Linked DNA regions of Sus scrofa. The protein of the gene in region 1 purifies or fractionates together with the protein of each later gene. This does not show direct contact. Links are inferred from orthologs where the notes say so. Each region holds a gene or a part of one and is shown on either strand. Other genes may lie near its edges. The genes, in order: SLX4 and PGAM5.

Region 1 (3,813 bases):
TGCAGATGCGGCTCGGACCCTGTGTTGCTGTGGCTGTGATGTAGGCTGGCAGCTGCAGCTCCGATTTCACCCCTATTCTGGGAACCTCCATATGCCACGGGTGCAGCCCTAAAAAGATGAAAAAGACCAGGATTGACAGAACATTGTAAATCAACTATAATGGGAAAAAAAACTAAAAAAAAAAAGTCCAGGACATCCGTCCTTTAAAATTCCCACTTCCTGGGCTTGCTTGTTTCCTCCTGGTGTCACGTAAGCCCTTCTTGCAGGGTAGTGCCCTGTCCTGCACATCCCAATGCCCAGGAGACTCACAGTGTCAGGCGGTGCTACTCTTTATCCTCTAAACAAGAGGAATCCTCCTCCCTGTGAAAATACAAGGAAAAGAAAGAGGAAGAAACCATATCGCCAGACCCACAGCTGGTAAATGCTCAGCCTCTTGCTGCTGTGCTTGCAGATTTTACCTCAGGATTACTGAGGATCCTCAGGCGACCCCCAAGGTTCACACAGGTGACAGCAGTGTGACATCTGCCATGGAGTCAGTCCTCAGGCCACCAAGGGGTACAGAGGCGTCACCCAGCCAGTGCATGAGCCCAGCACCAGGCTTCCATGCCACCCAGTTGTTCCCATAAACCTTCCCATCACACCCAGTAATACTCAGGAAAGAGAAACCACTTATTTGTGTTTTTTCGGGGTGGGGGGTTGTTTCTTTTTTTGCTTTTTAGGGCTGCACCCACAGCATAAGGAGGTTCCCAGGCGAGGGGTCCAATCAGAGCTACAGCTGCTGGTCTACACCACAGCCACAGCCATGCAGGATCCAAGCCACGTCTGTGACCTGCACCACAGCTCATGGCAACGCCAGGTCCTTAACCCACTGAGTGAGGCAAGGGATCGAACTCAAAACCTCATGATTCCTAGTCAGATTCATTTCCTCTGCGCCACAACAGCAACTCCCATTTATTTGTTTTTTTTTTTTTTAATGTACATATATATATATACATAGATAGGACCAAAATGAAGTATGCTGCTTTTACAAAGTTCTCAGGGCATATCCCTTGTGAGTGTCAAAGGTCTGCTCCAGCAACGTCAGGTGCAACAGAGGGCCGCCGCAGTGGGCACGGCCACTTGGGAGCCACCTCACGATCAGAATCAGTCCATCCTCTGCTGATGCTGAGAAGAGGCCTCTGCTTTTTATATCGAGTGCGGCACCTCACTCTGAGCTGGTCGAGCTTTGAAGAGAAACCTTAATAGGCTGGTTGGGACTGGAGCCCTGCTGACCGGGAATGCTCGGGTTGCTGACTTGAGCAGAAACAGGAAGTGAAAGGCAAGGCAAGTTTTTCAGGACCTTGATGCTCAGAGGCTGGTCCTGGACCAGCAGCAGCAGCTCTGCCTTGCAGGTGTCAGAATGCAGACTCTGAGGCTCCACCGAGACCACCCAAGTGCCAGCCTGCGGACCTGCATTTTGCGAGCTTCCTGGAGGTCCTTATGCTGTTAAAGTTCTGAGGACCACCTCCCTGCCCCCCCCGCCCCACTGCCTAGTGTCAGGACTTCCAGACGGGGCTGCACCTGCGGCTGAGCAGTGCTGGGTCTGCCTTCCTCACGCTCCGCCTGGTGTCTGTGTTCCAAGAGGTCTGAGGAGGAGCGGTCCTCACGGGTCCCTGTGCTTCTCCACAGGGTCTGGGCCTGGGCTCCCTGCCACAGACAGCAACACTGCTGTGCCCCTGATCCTCCAGCAGGAGTTTGGGCAGGAACCGGCACCTACACGAGATGACAGCCTGGAGGACAAGGGGTTGTTCTTTTGCCAGATCTGTCAAAAGAATCTCTCGGCCATGAACGTGACACGGAGGGAGCAGCATGTGAACCGGTAGGAGCAGCCTGGCCATCACCCGTCTGTGGCCACCTCTCCCATGGTTGTGACCAGCCTCGGGCCCCTGGGCTGTGGTGGGAATCTTGAGACACTCTGGTGTGACAGCAGCACCTCAGTGTTGGTGTGAAGCTAAAATTGCTTCTCTTTGGAGTTCCCATCGTGGCACAGTGGAAATGAATCCGACTCGTAGCCATGAGGATGCGGGTTTGATCCCTGGCCTCACTCAGTGGGTTAAGGACCCGGCGTTGCTGTGAGCCGTGGTGTGGGTCGCAGACGAGGCTCGGATATGGTTGCTATGGCTGTGGTGCAGGCCGGCAGCTACAGCTCCCATTCAACCCCTCCGTCAGGGAACTTCCATATGCTGTGAACAGTGCAGCTGTGTTACTTAGTGTATTCACAGAGTTGTGCAGCCATCACCCCCAAAATAGCAGGCCCATTAACAGGCACCCCCATTTCCCTCTTTTTCTCAGCCACTGGCAACCACTAACCTGCTGTCTGTCTCTGTGGATTTGCTTGTTCCGGACATAAGCGGACTCACAACATGTGGCCTTTGTGTCTGGCTTCCTTCCCTCAGCAGAGCGTTTTCAGGGTCCGCCCGTCCGTGCTTTTTTCCTTTGGGGGTCGGATGACACTCCACTGTCTGGAGGGGCTTTGTCTTGCTTATCCATTCGCCCACTTGTGGACCTGTGGGTTGTCTCCTCCTGGATCTGCCTGAGGACCTCCTCAGCTGGTGGGGTATCCACTCCGGAGCGGAGCTGCGGGTCACACGGTGCCTCTGATACACCCTTGCTTTCCTCAGACGCTGCTGCTAACAGAAGCCTAAGTTCAGTGTCTGAGGCGGAGGGCAGGCTGCCTGGAGGGAAAGGGCAGGCTGCCTGGAGGGAAGGCACCTTGGCCCGTGCTGTGCGTCGTGGATCCAGAGCAGGATCCACCCCCAGGGGGGCGGGGCTTCTACCTTTACTGTCTTCCTCCAGGTGCCTGGATGAGGCTGAAAAGGCCCTGAGGCCGTCCGTACCTCAGGTGCCCGAGTGCCCGATCTGTGGCAAGCCGTTCCTCCGCCCGAAGAGCCGGCTCAGCCACCTGAAGCAGTGTGCCGCGAGGATGGAGGTTGGCCCGCAGCTCCTGCTCCAGGCCGTGCGGCTGCAGACAGCTCAGCCTGAGGGGGCCTCCAGCACTCCCGCGCCGAGGTGAGTCAGGGGCAAAGAAGAAACGTACTCTGACTGGTTTAAAAAAGCCTGTGGAAGTGCTGGAGGCCAGCAGCTCTCTGCTTCTGAAGATGAAACATCTCAGGAGGAAACCGGGCCTAGGCTTCACAGGAACTGGGGAGGAGAGAGAGCTCCATCCTCGGAGGCTTTGAAAGGGACCCGTTGGATTGGACTGGTTTCCTCAAGGTCCTTCCCCACAGGCTGAGCAGCTAGGAATTCGGCGGTTTTCCTCCCCGTGCCCACTGTGGGTGGGGGGCAGCATGGCTTCCAGCTCAGTGTAGTCCGATTTTCATACCATTAATTTAAGACTACTCAGCATAGGAATTCCTGTCGTGGCTCAGTGGTTAACGAATCCCACTAGGAACCATAAGGTTGCAGGTTCAATCCCTGGCCTTGCTCAGTGGGTTAGGGATCCGGCGTTGCCGTGAGCTGTGGTGTAGGTCGCAGACACGGCTCAGATCCCGAGTTGCTGTGACTGTGGCCTAGGCCGGTGGCTACAGCTCCAACTGGACCCCTAGCCTGGGGACCTCCATATGCCACGGGAGCAACCCAAGAAATGGCAAAAAGACAAAAAAAAAAAAAAAGATTTCTCAGCACAGTTCAACTTGGTGAGACAGAAGCTTAAGCCTTTTAAATTTGCATGAAATAAATGCTTAAGTGTTTAAATAGAAGGCCTTGCTGATAACCAGAAACAAGTGCTCTGTGTGCAAACCATGGCACATGTGGCAGAGGGTGACTTCCCTCCAC
Region 2 (2,948 bases), on another chromosome or scaffold:
CTGTCCTCTCCGTGTCACTGGTTGCCTTGCTGTGACTGTCAGTCTCCTCCCAAGGACATGAGTGGCACAGGGGCTTTGATTGTTCTGTTTGCTCCAGTGGCCCAGAGAAGGCCTGGTGCTGAGTTCTGGGATGTGTGGCATGTGCTCAGGGCAGGGGTGGAGTACGGAGGCCTTTGCTTTTGTGCTTTCTCAAGATGGGAAACCCCTCTGTCAGAAAGACTGTCTCTCCTATTTCAACATTAGGCGAGAACCTCTATCCCTGGTCAATCTGCGGAAGAGGAACCTTGAACCCGGAGAAGAAGAGCTGGCGTCCAGGCTGGACCACTACAAAGCCAAGGCCACTCGGCACATCTTCCTCATCAGGCACTCCCAGTACCATGTGGACGCCTCCCTGGAGAAGGACCGCACGCTGACACCCCTGGGTAAGTGGCTGGGCCTCTTTGGACCTGTGTCAGGGGCTCTTGCCCAGATGTGGGCGTTGTCATCACCAGTAATTAGCAGGCAGAACTGACACAAGGCAGGCTCTGAAAACGTCATCAATTTTATTTAATTTTTTGCTTTTTCAGCCCCCACTAGTTGCATATGGAAGTTCCCAGGCTAGGAGTCAAGTCGGAGCTGCAGCTGCCAGTCTACGCCACAGAGCAGCACAGGATCCGGGCTGCATCTGCGGCCTATGCCACAGCTCATGGCGACGCCGGACCCCTTAATCCAGTGAGCAAGGCCAGGGATCAAACGTGTGTCTTCATGGATACTATTTGGATTCATTATTGCGGAGCCATGAGGGGAACTCCCTGCTTATTTTTTATTTATTGTTGTGGTCACTGTTTTTAACGTTTTTCCTGTGTGGAGCCGAAGGTGGCTGCTCTGTTTCCTTGGTTTTACCTGTTGAAAGCTTGGTCCCCTAGTTAGGCCTGAGCCATGGGAGGGGCTGCCTGTCTTGCCCCCACCCCCAGTGGGACTGAAGTATTTGTGAGGCAGACAAAGAGTGGCCCCAGTAACATGTGATCCTTGGTGTATTTCACCCTCCAGGTCGTGAGCAGGCTGAGCTAACTGGTCTCCGTCTTGCAAGCTTGGGGTTGAAATTTAATAAAATCGTCCATTCCTCCATGACCCGCGCCATAGAAACCACTGACATCATCAGCAAACACCTGCCAGGTGAGTGCCAGGCGCTCTCAGGTGCCTGGCAGTGGGGAGGGCAGGCAGCTTCTCCTGGTGCCACTGAGCCCTGTGCCTCTCCACAGGCGTCTGCAGGGTCAGCACAGACCTGCTCAGGGAGGGCGCCCCCATCGAGCCCGATCCCCCAGTGTCTCACTGGAAGCCAGAGGCTGTGGTAAGAACTCCCCGGGGCAGGCAGCCCCTCTGCTGTGCCCAGACTCGGGGCCCTCCTTTCCTGATGCCCGCGAGGCCTCCATCCGCACAAGTCCTCTCTCTGCCCCCAGCAGTATTACGAAGATGGCGCGAGGATCGAGGCTGCCTTCCGGAACTACATCCACCGGGCTGATGCCAAGCAGCAGGAGGACAGTTATGAGATCTTCATCTGCCACGCCAATGTCATCCGTTACATCGTGTGCCGGTGAGGGTCCTGGGGTCACGCAGCCCGTTTTCCCTCCTTGTACCCCAATGCTCTCCACAGGCTGAGTTGGTTGTCTGGTAGAACGGCCTTCAATTTGCTTTTCTCAGGACCAAGTGTTTTTGGTAGGAACAGACCAGACTGATGTGCCCTGGTGGGCCACTTTCCCAGCGGTGCTGATGGGGCCGCTCAGCTCAGGCGCCGTGTTCTGGGTCCTTGCACCATGAGGTTGCACTTTTATTTTATTTTAATTTTTATTTTTTTCTTTTTGCCTTTTCTAGGGCTGCTTCCGTGGCATATGGAGATTCCCAGGCTAGGGGTCCAATCGGAGCCTGTGCCAGAGCCACAGCAACGCAGGATCCTTAACCCACTGAGCAAGGCCAGGAATCAAACCTGCAACCTCATGGTTCCTAGTTGGATTCGTTAACCACTGCGCCACGACGAGAACTCCGAGGTTGCGCTTTTTAGGAGGCAACGCTGACACCCCAGATTTAACTCCCATGGGCTTTAGCACCTGTCACTAGGTGCTGCCACTACAGTTGTTGGGTAGTTTTTACTTAGTGGTTTTGTGTTTTTCTCTATATATTTATTTTTGGCCACATCTGCAGCATGTTGAAGTTCCCAGGCCAGGGATCGAACCTGAGCCACAGAATTGACAACCCACTGCACCGCCAGGGAACTCCCTCCCTTTATTAATTGGAATTATTTGCAATCGTCGGCTCATGGGTTTGTTTCAGGCTGGGTTGTTTGTAATCTGACCACATTAGTCATTTGGCTGCTCCAGTGTTGGATGGTGTAAGCTCTCCAGGGGCTCCTGTGTCCTTGGCCCTGATCACTTTCTTACTTCCTGGCACCACAGAGAGTTCCAGGGCCCTCATAAGTGACCCCCGCCCTGAGCCACAGCCCCAAGTCACAGAGAGCCCTGCACATGGAGGGCCAGCTGAGTGCTTCTGTATTTGCCCAAATCCTACTTAGTGCAAGATTTGGAGTAACTGGAACCCTGCCTCCCCCTGGACCCGCTGCAAAGTGTTTGGTGGTAGCTGTGGGGGTCGCCCTTCTCACTTGGGGCCATTTGCCCTCAGGTGTCACACTCATGGCCCTGGGGAGAAGCCTGGCGGCTGGGAGGAAGGGTCAGCTTGAGGCAGGCCTGGGTGACACCTACATCACTAGATGGCGCCACCAGTGCTGAAGACAGGCCAGAAATGGCTGGGACTTGGAAGAATGGTGCCTGTGCTGAAAACAGGGCTGCTGGGGAGTTCCCATTGTGGCTTAGCAGTAATGAGCCCAACTAGTATCCATGAGGACATGGGTTTGCTCCCTGGCCTTACTCAGTGGGTTAAGGATCCAGCGTTGCCATGAGCTGTGGTGTAGATCACAG

Evidence for each region.
Region 2: the proteins of SLX4 (region 1) and PGAM5 purify together in Homo sapiens (affinity purification with mass spectrometry; 4 studies listed by BioGRID and IntAct, with this or other methods). This does not show direct contact. The link is inferred for Sus scrofa from reciprocal best matches to the Homo sapiens genes SLX4 and PGAM5.

What each region holds. Positions count from the first base shown.
Region 1 is NC_010445.4:38,653,191-38,657,003, forward strand, and holds part of SLX4 (structure-specific endonuclease subunit SLX4), read left to right. Parts: intron 1-921; exon of another isoform or gene 922-1,668; coding exon 1,669-1,858; exon of another isoform or gene 1,859-2,835; coding exon 2,836-3,048; exon of another isoform or gene 3,049-3,813. UniProt on the Homo sapiens protein: Regulatory subunit that interacts with and increases the activity of different structure-specific endonucleases.
Region 2 is NC_010456.5:22,775,168-22,778,115, reverse strand, and holds part of PGAM5 (serine/threonine-protein phosphatase PGAM5, mitochondrial), read left to right. Parts: intron 1-243; coding exon 244-422; intron 423-1,029; coding exon 1,030-1,155; intron 1,156-1,241; coding exon 1,242-1,330; intron 1,331-1,439; coding exon 1,440-1,573; intron 1,574-2,948. UniProt on the Homo sapiens protein: Mitochondrial serine/threonine phosphatase that dephosphorylates various substrates and thus plays a role in different biological processes including cellular senescence or mitophagy. Modulates cellular senescence by regulating mitochondrial dynamics.